Linked DNA regions of Neurospora crassa OR74A. The main gene of each other region encodes a partner of the protein of the gene in region 3 in a complex. Links are inferred from orthologs where the notes say so. Each region holds a gene or a part of one and is shown on either strand. Other genes may lie near its edges.

Region 1 (3,452 bases), on a different chromosome or scaffold from region 3:
CGGGCGGTGTTGGAGGATGTGTTGCAGCACTCGGAGACAGAAGGCGTACCGCTGTTGATATTGGCGAACAAGCAGGACCGGGAAGACTGCGTAGAGGTGGTGCGGATCAAGGAAGGCTTGGTAAAGAAGGTCTTCGAGGGCGAGAAGAGCGCAAGTATCAGAGACTCGAGGGTGTTGCCGGTGTCGGCACTAACGGGGACGGGCGTGAGGGAGGCGGTGGAGTGGGTTAGGTCAAGGGTAAAGTGGAACAAGGAGTCGAGGCCGCCGGTTATGCGGTGAGAAGCGGGAGCGGTTGATGATGAAAGACCAATTCATGACATAACCCACGTTCGCGACCAATATCGACGAACATCGACAGCGCCGGGGCAGAGGATTCTATGTGGGAGCCAAATCCTCCCTTTGGGTTCGGCAGGCAATGCTTGGATCTTGCCTGCCGTCGAGGATCAATATCGCTTCCTGGAAGACTTAAGAACTAGGCCAGGAGCGGTACGTGATCACGCAGGTTTCTTCCAAAAAGACCTACAACACCCTGCCATCACGCGAGATTACCCTGCCATCAGATCAAATCACTTCAGATTCGGGCAAGATTGGATCGTGGGGGGAGTGGCGTAGAAGCAAATTTAGGGCTCAGGCTTGGTCTAAACTAAAGTTTGGAGCTCATTGCGTCCAGAGATAGAGGCTAGGACCCTGTGGTTACCTGGCGCCAATGCTTTCACCTCATTCATCTGGCAGCTTTAGCGGCAGATGAGGACTTGGGGACTGAGCTGATGGCGAGATACACTGTGTAACGTTAGATGGCAATTTCGGTCGCCGCTAACGGGATAACTCCCTTTAGACATGAGGGAGGATACGGCACTCGCGGCGCCCCCCATCATAATAATAGAGCCCATTCCGCGGAGTGACTTGCCTCTTGGACAATTCTTGCCGTTCTCTTTTGACTGAGAAAAGTAAAGAGACCAGCTGTAGAGCTGTCCCATATCCTCGTCAGGTTTCGCCTTCAACCACACAGCCTTGTTGTTCTGCTTGGCTCTATGGCCGTACCTGGGTATCTCACTTCTTCCTCTTACGTCCTCAACCGCTTCACCCAACAATGCGATCATTCTCCGCCCTCAACTCAGCCATAAACCCACCCTTATCCCTCCTCTTTGCGTCCTCCGCCAACTTGTCATCCAAGTAAGTGGAGAACTCCTTCACCTTCGTCAGCGCCACGCTGGTACACTGCAGTAGCGCAACTGCCTCGACCGGTACACCCCCGAGCTTCGCGATCTGGCAGATCTCTCCGTGCCTGTTCAAACTAATCGTGACACTGGCGACCCTGACTTGCTCCTCCATCCAATCCGCATCCAACAACGCTGTCTCACCCTCCTCGCCAAAGAAACTCCACGTCACGCAGAAAGGCGAGTGCAGCCAGCCCAGCGGCACCGGCTCCCGCTCCGCAGGCGTGTACACCGTCAGCACGCCATTCTCCATGCTGGTGTCGGGCTTTCGGAAGTGGCGAAGGGCGGCGACGACGGCGAAGCAGGCCGCATCGGTCAGGTTGCCGTCGTGCGAAAGCACGTGCACGTCGACCCGGACGGACCAGCACTTTTGCCCCGCGACCAGACAGAGCGACTCGGTGTCGAGGGCGCCGGAGCGCCGGACCGTCTTTTCGAGCAGGCGCGAGAGCAGCACTTCGGTTTCGGTGGGCCGGTTCACTTCGAAGTGAGGCGCGGCCATGGGGGAGAGTTCGGTGGCGATGGTGAAGATGCCGTCGAGCGGGCGGTCGGCGAAGGGGACTGTTACTTCGGCGGAGGCTTTGGCAAGAATTCTAAAGATGGGAGTCCCGGTTAGTATCTTGGTGCCTCAGGGGTAGGATATGCGTGGTGGTGGTGAGAGTACACAAACGTACTTTGTCTTGCCAAGCGATACATTGGCGACGCCATATTCGTCTCCAAACGTGAGCTCTAGTGGACGGTATTGGTCGAATTCACGGCCATCGAGGCGAATCTGTTCGTCTTGAAGCGCCTTCAAGAGAAAGGCCTTCTCGTTGGCTGACGGTTCTGCTTCTCTGGGCATGTTGACTGAGGTTTGTTTACTTTTTCCCTTTGAAAATACGTGGTTGCGGATCTAAAGAATCGGGCAACATCACTGGTTAGGTAGGTGCTGCAGTTGCAGTCGCTATGGTCACCGTTTCTGCCACTAAAGTCCGCCAGAATTTGGCGGGTTTTGCCGCTGGCGGTCAAGAAGTGCGCCTGCGAGACTGAACCCCAGGGCGTCATTGGATCCATTTGTACCACTACTGCCAGCCAGTTCCTTCTTCAGACTTCAGAGCCATTGCTTCAAATCAGGAACAACTTTACTTCCCTCTGCAGCAATTTCCACTTCCAACACCCCTCAACAAATCACGGCCCATCTCGCCCTCTATTGCGCGCGCTTCATCTCTCACGCACCGGCATCATCTATCAACTCAAGAAAAGAACTGCGTAACCGAACCAAGCCGCCAGAATGACCACAGCTCACAGACCTACCTTCGACCCGGTACGCATCCCACCACCCTCATCCTTCTCATCCCCAACCAATCCCGCCATCCTCTCGTGCACCCACTAACATCCATTCTTCTCAAAACCAGGCCAAAGGCAAAGAAGCCCTCCGCGGTCCCGCCTACCACCAGCGTCTCCTACCCGCCTACACCCAGCTCAAGTTCCGCAAGCCCGGCCAAGGCGGCGTTGCGGGGGCATCTGAAGAGCGCGACACGCGCGACCTGCGCGCTGAGCTGCTGGCTGCCGAGGAGGCGCACAAGGCCAAGTTGAGGGGCGGACCTGCTCTTACCTCTGGTGATGACGATGTCGATAACGAGAAGGCGGGAACCAAGCGCCCATTGGCTTTGACGGGCGGTGATCACAACAAAGAGGAGGAAGACCAAGAAGCGAAGCGACGAAGGATATTAGAGTTGACGAGGGAGATTGATGCGGATGATTCTTCTGATGATGTTGATGACGACGACGCGGATGCCGATGACGCCGATGCCAAATCACCAAAAGCCCAGAAGAACCAAGATGACGACGACGCCTCTTCAGACTCCTCCGATTCTGATTCCGACTCCGACTCCGACTCAGACGACGAAGAAGCCGAACTCCAGCGGGAACTCGAGCGCGTGCGTCGCGAGCGTCAAGAGAAGCGCGAGCGCGAGGAGCTTGAGCGCCAAAAGGCCGAAGAAGAACAGCGCGAGAAGGACATAGCGCTCGGGAACCCGCTGCTGAACAAGCCGGACTTTACGGTCAAGAGGAGGTGGGACGACGACGTGGTCTTCAAGAACCAGGCGAGGGGTGTGGACGATAGGAATAAGAAGAAGGAGTTTGTCAATGATTTGTTGAGGAGCGACTTCCATAGGCGGTTTATGAGCAAGTACGTTCGTTGAGGGAGGAGAAAGAGGAGTTTGAGGTTGGGGGCTTGTTGCTGCCGTTGCTGCCGCT
Region 2 (4,420 bases), on a different chromosome or scaffold from region 3:
TCGTGTCGTGGTGGACAGACTCGGCTCAGACTCGCGCTGAAGTTTATCGAAGCAGTTTAGGCAGTATTACAGGGAGTGTGGAGCGTTCTAAGTTCTAGCGCCCAGAAGCCAGAGTCCCCGAGCGCAACCCGACCTGGCTGCGACTGCACGGCACTCTGTAATGAACCGATTGGATGTTGGGGAGGATCCACTTCTCAAGGACGGGAAACCTTATTTGGAAGGGGAACATTCAACCGACTTGAAGTCATCCATGGCTTCCGTCCATAACAGAGAGCACTGAAAACAACTCAACAGAAGATATAATCAGAAAGGTACAGTCAAAGACCAGCGGGTGACACTTTTGGTACATGGGCTTTGTTCAAGACATGGAGGGTGTGCATAATGGAAAGTCCTTCCACGAATACCAGGCGATATATGATATATACGGAGAAGAGATAATTGAGCAATGTAAGGAGAATAACTGGATTGTTGCGGCTTTGTTCAAGGAGTTGGTCGACGAGTGGTACAGTAAGGTACTCAGACGTCGTCCAGCTCTGGTATTCTGAGCAAGTCAGTCATCCTTTCAACTTTGGCCATGTTCGTAAGCTCAAACTCACATTTTTTCTTGCCCATGTATGTTGAGTCGCTGTCCTTGAGTTCTTCCCGCGCCTCTTCAAGCAGCTTGTCGATGCCACGCTCTTTCAAAGCAACCTGTAAAATGCCATATGGTAAGCTATCTCGATGCTAGAGTACGGGCGCTGTATGGTTTTGCGTCCTACCTGCAGGCAAGAGCTATACTCCTTGAAGAGAATTGAACATTCGTTATTTTGTTCGGTACCATTGCCCCTAAGGTATTCTGTCCAGTATAAGTATCACACATGTCCACTGAGTTGGGGTGTCTGTTCCTGTAGACTTACTCTCACTGTACCATTTGAGAAAGCAAGTGTCGTAACGTCTACAACTGGTTAAGATGTTGTTTTCTTTCCGTATGAAGGACAAAAACTTACTCCTTGGCCTCGTTGCATTCCTTGGCGAGTGACTGGGACATCTTTAAAGTCCAGAGCTATGTTTTCAACCGTAGGTGTTGCCAACAAAACGATAGGCTTGGTACGGTGTCCGATGACTTATGGGTATCGACGGTATATCTATGTTTTGGGCAAAAGATCGTATAGAAGGGTGTTCGTGAGATACTCCAGGTGAATATTTTTGGTGGAAAAGACGGTTGTACGGAATCTCAAATATCAACGTTCACCGGTGAGTCCGCTTGGAAACCAACAAGTACCAGGTGCTATTCAACAATGGGGTTGCGGACTTCCACTTCGTCACAGGACGGATCTCAAAAGCCTGGACGCCGATGGATGAACGAACGTTGGTGGTCCAGATCAGCACAATCTTGGCTCTTGGCAAGCGCCCCCTTGGCCTTATGTAATCGGCTGCCCAAAGTCTCTCTACTTTAGTGCTTCTACTTCCCAGCATGGGCCATCAGGTACCTCTACCAGCGCAGAGCGGGAACAGCTCACTCGAGGCCCACTTGATGGCATCCATCGGGCAGCTTCCACTTTTCGAGGTCCCGTTCACTTTGGCGCTTTCTCCACAAGCCACATGCTGGGACTGTCCGCAAAAAAAGTTCCCAAAGAGCAGCAGAACGACAAACCATTTTTGGAAAATTGAACCGGGCTTCCACTTCCAGTGACGTCCACACCACAACGACTCCAGAACCACCGGCCAATATGGACGGCTCACTGGACTTCAAGAGCTTGAGGGAATCGCTCCAAGCCGCCCTGGTCGCTACGACCCGAACCGCCAACTCAATCGCCAGCGAGGATCTTCAGTTCCAGCGCACCGTCAACCCGACTGTCGGTGGTCAACTCGACAACAGCTCCGGCCGCCTTCTGTCCCTGGCCAACGGGCTCCTCAAGTCGACCGCGAATCTTACCGGCCAGAAGGTTGGCGCTCTTGAAGATGCCGACGACGTGGACATCCAATGGCGGAACATTGTCGACGTGATCGACTCGTTGCTCGAGAAAGCCGACACCTGCCTCGACGAGTACACCGGATTGATCAAGCGGAAGGATGCGCCTACCCCCGCCGACCAGGGCCGCGCCCAAAAACGCGTCAAGTCGTCTAACGATCGTCTTGACTGGTCCTTGAAGAGAGCCAACATTCTCAAACCACAGAATAACTTCGAGAAGAAGGTCGATAACTTCGCTACCGGTCCTTGGAAGCCTCTGTTGTCGTCCAAGCCTCATGCCAAGGTGTCACTGGAAGACAGCCTGACCACCTTTGTCGATGATGACAACAACACACAGTACGTCTAACCTTTCTTTCCAATATCATAAGAGCATGTCGCTAACATGAATCTCCCAGATACAAACACCCCTACGAAACCGAGATCAAGACGACACCGTACCCTGAGCATGTGTACAAGAAGCGCGAACCCAAGGAGTACCTTCCTATCGATTCGACATCCGCCATCTGGGTTGATACTTATGAGGGCGTCTTGGAGATGTTGGAGGAGCTCAAGCAGGCCAAGGAAATTGCGCTTGATCTGGAGCACCACGATTTTAGGTCTTACACCGGACTGTTGTCTCTCATGCAGATCAGTACCAGAGAGAAGGATTGGGTCATTGATACTCTTCAACCTTGGAGGCACAAGCTTGAGGTTCTGAATGAGGTTTTTGCGAACCCCAACATTGTCAAGGTGAGACACATCCTGGCCTTCTGCTTTCACTGTATTATCGACTAACTTGACCCAGGTTCTTCACGGTGCTTTCATGGATGTCATCTGGCTGCAGAGAGATCTTGGTCTCTACGTTGTAGGTCTCTTCGACACATATCATGCTTGCGCCGTTCTCGGGTACCCTGGAAGGAGCTTGGGTTATTTGCTTAGCAAGTTTGCCGAGTTCGAAGCCGACAAAAAGTATCAGCTTGCGGACTGGCGCATCAGACCTCTCCCCGAGGAGATGTTTTACTATGCGCGGTCGGATACCCACTACCTGCTCTACATCTTCGACATGATCATCAACGAGCTCGTGGAGCGCTCAACACCCGGAAAGCCGAAGCCTGACCTTCTCGAGCAGGTCCTCGAGAGGTCCAAGGATGTCGCCCTGCAACGATACGAGAACCTTAGCTACAACGTCGAAACCGGCCAGGGACCCCGCGGGTGGTATAATGTGCTGTTGAAGTCCCCAACGCTCTACAACGGCGAGCAGTTTGCCGTCTACAAGGCCGTACATCAATGGCGTGACAACTTGGCTCGTCGTGAGGACGAGAGTCCCTTCTTCTTTATGACACAGCAGGTTCTGGCCGACATTGCCCGGATACTCCCGACCGACAAGAAGGCTCTGTGGAGTATTCTGGATAGCAACGCCAAGGGCCTCAAGTCTCATTTGGATGATCTATTCGACGTCATTCAAAAGGCTAGGGAGGAAGGTGTGAACGGTCCCAAGATGATGGATATCTTCAAGAGCGAGTCATCTATCCTCGCCCCCGCCAAGATTGCTGCGGTCATCGCCGACGATAGCGACATTCCGGACGTCAAGGAGCTCAAAGCTGACCGGTCACAATTTTGGGGCGGCGTCACTCTGAGCTCAGTCTGGGACGGCACGGCTGCGAAGACTGCCAAGCTTGACGACGTGTTGGAAATCACCCTTCCGTATCCGGCCGACTTCATGGACGGATCTACGGCTGAGATGGAGGTGGATCAACCAGAAGAGGCGGTGCCAGAGCCCCAGCCGGCGCCGGAAGAGGTGATAGTCAACCAGGAATTCACTCTTAGGAACGGAGGCAAGCGCAAGCGCGAGGAAGAGTCTGAGGAAGAAGAGGAGGCCTCAGATGCCGAAATGGAGGATTCCGCGCCTCAGACCGAAACCGACGTGCAAACCGGTGGTGAAGCCGAAGGTGACGACTCCGACGAGGAAGAAGAGGAGGAGGAGGAAGAGGCAAGCGACAAGTCATCCAAGAAATCCAAAAAGGCAGCCAGGAAAGCGGCCAAGGAGAAGAAGAAGCAGGCCAAGGAAGCTCTCAAGGCCCAGCGAAGGGCAGAGAAGGCCGCCAAGAAGGAAGCAAAGAAGAAGGCGCAGGAAGAAGCTGCTGCTGCCGCTAAGCAGGCGGAGGGCGAGGAGAAGGAAGATCAGCCGTTTGATTACTCTCAGGCTGCGTCGGTGTTGCGTGCTCGCAAGACTCAGGAGGACGTCAAGAAGGCGAATAAGAGGTTTAACCCGTATGAAAACAAGTCTCAGGGAGGACCCAAGGGCGCAAGAGCGCATTACACGGCCAAGGCGGCTGGCAGGACGGCTACCTTTAAGAAGTGAGGAGCCGGCGGATGAGGAAGATGGAGGGCAAATAGGATAGATTATGGAACGATCAGTGCTGTGTTGGCCATTGATGCCACTTATTTTTTTTACTTGGACTATTATTATCGCGGTGCGTTTTAGTATAT
Region 3 (3,730 bases):
ATGCGTCCAGTCAAACCAGTCACCACATCATCAACAACAACACAAAGCACGGGCAATGGAACCGAGCAGGTAGCAGCAGCAGTAGTAGAAGGCGACGCAACCTACTCCGAAACCATTGCTGAAGTGTTCCAAGACTCCATCGCCCCTTTTCGTCCAAACATTTCCGAGTATGACCCGGACCAGGATTCGGATTTCGGTAAGGAGCAGCAAGTGTCGCTGACGCGCAAGGTGGACTTCAACCAGACCGTCTCGGCGTTCACGGGCCAGGACGAGCGGTTTGCGTACAAAAGAGCGACGAGCCGGTTGTGGGAGCTGTGCAGCAGGCAGTGGCATGCTAGGACCGATGAGGGTTGGTGGCAGCCGCTGCCCAAGGAGGCGAGGCATTGGGAGGGCAAGGAGGTTAGCAAGCCGTTGGAATCACCGTTGGTGAGGTTGAATGCGGGGCCGAAGGAGAAAACGGAGATTGTGATGGGGGAGTCGACGGTACTGGAGGAACCGGTGGGGTTGGAGAGGTTTAGGGTTAGGGAGATGAAGGAGGGGAAGAGGTGATGGGGGTGACGGTTGGATGTTGGTTTTCATGTAGATGCTCTGAAGATGATTACATGTACTCTTACGAGTGGTCTATGCAGACTTGTAAGCTATTATGTGATATACTTCCCCGGATACCGCCATATTTTGTGATCAAAGTGGCTTTGAGGCTTCACAAGCCACCACCAGCGTCGTGTTTTGCATAAATGGAAGCTCTTCAACGGCTCAAAGCTGATTGGCGACCCCATCAAATAGGGAAGCATTTTGTTTCTTCTTGGGTTCCCGAATGCATTACTACACGAGCCCCTAGACCCAGCTAGAACTAGACCTAGACAGCCGTCAAAGCAGCAGCAAGCTGCTCTCCTCTCTCACCACCCAAATACACATCCTCGGGCCCATCCGCGCTCACCAACGCCAGCTCCACGGCCTCATTATACCCCTTTGTAACCATATCCTCATCCACCCGCAATCCATTCTCCACCAGCGCCGTTACCACGCCCCTAATCCTCGCAATTTCCCTCATTGTCTCGGGCTCGATCCTGTCATTCTGGCTCGAATACATGGTAGCACTAACCACCTCTTCGAGGTTCGTAATGCCCGTCTGGCCCTTCGCCTCCTCGGGAACCACAGGCTCCACATGCTTTGAGATCCAGACATAGCCATTGACGCCCAAAATCACATCAATCGGACCGCCATTATTCGCACTCTCCAGCGTCCACACCTGTCTGCGCGATCTGACCACGCCTCCACCGCCGCCCGTGCCAGAAACAGCCATGAACACCCCGTTCCTCAGCTTGCCGTACTTGAGCGAGCGCGTGTGCAGCACCGCACCACCATCTTGGAAGAGCTGCTGCACCTCGGCCACCACCAGATCCCCCTCGGCAAAGAAAGTGCGGATCTGCAACTCGTCCGTCTCCGTTCTTTTGCGGAGAATGCCACCAGGAAGGTTGATGGCGGAAAGAGGCAAAGCAGCGAGCTGCGTGGACCCGACGTCGACCCGCCACCGTTTTGCCTGAACTTCGACGATGCGGCCGACTACCAAGTCGCCGACCTCGGGCGTGTAGCGGGCGCGCAGAGGGCGGACGGAAAGAAGCTTGTTGGTGCGCGTCACGATGCCGGCCAGCGAGGAGGTGATGGCTTGTTCACCCAAAGAGGCCGAGGAGAGGTAGGTGCCGTGGCCGCGCATCCATTGGGGGTCCGTGGTGATGCGCTCGCCGGGGGTGACGATGGCGGAGCGCGGGATGGAGTTGATGGCAGCGTTGGTCTTGGGGCGCTTGGTGAAGGTAGAGGAGGCGGCTGCGCCGGCGCCGGAGCGATGACGCTTACGAGGGTGGATGGTCGCGCCGCCGTCGAGAGAGACGCCGCCCGGTTGGGAGTCGGAGTCTTCAGAGTCGGAGGTGGCGTCGGACATTACGTCGTCGGAGTCATGGTTGAGGCTGTGGCGGGGTGGTTGGTCCCGGAAGGCTTTAGGTGGGAGGATTGTGATGGGCATGTTGTGTGGTTGTGGATGGTGTGAAATGGCGATCTCAACGTTGAGTGTTTGTTGGTGTGATGAAGGTCCGAATGAATCCTTCCTTCCTGGTTCCGTTGTCGACCTTCTCGAATCTCAAGTTCTACTATGTGACTATCCTGACCTGCAGAAGTTTGTTGTTTGTGTCGATTCGTCTTGTGGCCTCAAAGGATGTTGTATGGGCCTTCCAGTTGCTTAGTTCCCTTTGGAGTTGATGAGTTGACGTTCAAATGTTTGCGTATTGGAAATTCTGATATTGAAATCGATACGGTATTGACGATTGAACTTTACACGGTTGGTGGGGCCTTTGTTGTGCCTGTCGTCGTGCACGGGCACAAAATAGAGGCACATGCAGTGCAGGTACACCACGCAAAGTACGTAGGTACTCAGGTACTGTGTAGGTGCTGGGCAGGTACTTACCTCCTCCCGTCCGCGTCCTTGAGGTTTTTATCTAGCAACTACACTACCTTATGTAACTACAATGAGTGGATCTGGGACCTTTTCCTCCTCAAACCTACTTCTACTGCAAATTGAAAGCCAACAGTATTGTAGCCGCACCAGTGGCAGCCCAGGCGACGTCGCACGTCAGGTCCTTCGGTAGGTAGGTACACTACTGCTGCAGCAATGACGGGTGTCATCGTTGAATAGGTGTGAAGTGCCTGCCCCAGTGACAACGATTGGAGGTGCCATGGATCCAGATTGCGACGTTCGGAACTACCCCACCCACCTTCTCCACAAAGCCGAGACCCCGGGACAACGGGCCACCCGGGCGCTGGCTGGCGTGATCCACTCCCGGCCGCGGTTGTCGATTTCCAGGGCGGTTTGTTGAGTGAGAGCGAGATTTCCATTGATGACCGACTCGACCGCCCTCGTAAGCCCCTACCTACCGCGATTCAGTGTCCGTACCTGCTTACACAGCACTCTCGAGCTTCCACTTCTTGCAGGATACACCCGTCCCTACTTGCCCGGGAGGCCCTTACTGTTGCTACCGTTGAAAGCCGATCATCCCGTGTTCTTCCACCAGTTGCTGGCATCCCTTTGAACGGCCATTAGTAGTCCCGTCCGTCCTGCTCTTTGATTTGCTCCCATTGTTTACTTGCTGCGGGTTCACGCCGTCAAACATACCTGACTTGTTTGAATTCGAGATTCACGTCATCTACCACGACGTCGGATTCCACCAGACTACGACATAACCGTGTGCTACTCGGATTGGCGCCGATCGGATATCGACTACATATCGGGAACCATAGCGGTGGATCATCCCAAGACTGTCAGTGAAACCAGACCAAGATTCCGAAACCGATTCACTACACTACGCGGTAGATCGGACGGACCGAACGGACGGACGGCCTGGGACGGGCACCAATCGAGGTTTCCAGGTCCATATACACCGATATGCCTTTGCGAGGGCCCCTTCGTCGGCCTGCGCTTGCGCTTCCTCCTTTCACATGCAACAATGTCACCACAAAAATACCCCTCAGGATATCACCATTACCGCGCTCGGTAGCGGTACGGCAGCGTAGAGGACATGCGACACATCTCCCGGTACCAGACACGCGGCCAAAGACGGCCATCTTCTTTCCAGGTTCGTAGTAGTAGTAGTGCGCTGTCCTGCTTTGAACAGAGAACGATGCTGACAGCCATGAGATATACAGGCCAAGGCGTCCAAAGAGTCGGCATGCTCACGCCCTG

Evidence for each region.
Region 1: NCU04009 (region 3) and NCU00334 share a complex: the UniProt entries of both Saccharomyces cerevisiae proteins name them as parts of the RNA exosome complex. The link is inferred for Neurospora crassa OR74A from reciprocal best matches to the Saccharomyces cerevisiae genes RRP4 and RRP45.
Region 2: NCU04009 (region 3) and NCU02256 share a complex: the UniProt entries of both Saccharomyces cerevisiae proteins name them as parts of the RNA exosome complex. The link is inferred for Neurospora crassa OR74A from reciprocal best matches to the Saccharomyces cerevisiae genes RRP4 and RRP6.

What each region holds. Positions count from the first base shown.
Region 1 is NC_026503.1:3,486,949-3,490,400, forward strand, and holds NCU00334 (3' exoribonuclease), read right to left. Parts: upstream 2,125-3,452; 5' UTR 2,056-2,124; coding exon 1,889-2,055; intron 1,808-1,888; coding exon 1,081-1,807; 3' UTR 598-1,080; downstream 1-597. Other genes in the region: NCU00333 (ADP-ribosylation factor family protein), read left to right, coding at 1-279; NCU00335 (pre-mRNA-splicing factor cwc15), read left to right, coding at 2,485-2,517, 2,609-3,397. UniProt on the Saccharomyces cerevisiae protein: Non-catalytic component of the RNA exosome complex which has 3'->5' exoribonuclease activity and participates in a multitude of cellular RNA processing and degradation events.
Region 2 is NC_026507.1:3,162,868-3,167,287, reverse strand, and holds the start of NCU02256 (exosome complex exonuclease Rrp6), read left to right. Parts: upstream 1-1,576; 5' UTR 1,577-1,709; coding exon 1,710-2,287; intron 2,288-2,346; coding exon 2,347-2,680; intron 2,681-2,735; coding exon 2,736-4,292; 3' UTR 4,293-4,420. Other genes in the region: NCU17251 (hypothetical protein), read right to left, coding at 540-541, 597-690, 759-835, 897-934, 987-1,027. UniProt on the Saccharomyces cerevisiae protein: Nuclear-specific catalytic component of the RNA exosome complex which has 3'->5' exoribonuclease activity and participates in a multitude of cellular RNA processing and degradation events.
Region 3 is NC_026506.1:2,432,359-2,436,088, forward strand, and holds NCU04009 (exosome complex exonuclease Rrp4), read right to left. Parts: upstream 2,304-3,730; 5' UTR 2,021-2,303; coding exon 857-2,020; 3' UTR 555-856; downstream 1-554. Other genes in the region: NCU04008 (mitochondrial ATPase), read left to right, coding at 1-549; NCU04010 (malonyl CoA-acyl carrier protein transacylase), read left to right, coding at 3,434-3,623, 3,694-3,730. UniProt on the Saccharomyces cerevisiae protein: Non-catalytic component of the RNA exosome complex which has 3'->5' exoribonuclease activity and participates in a multitude of cellular RNA processing and degradation events.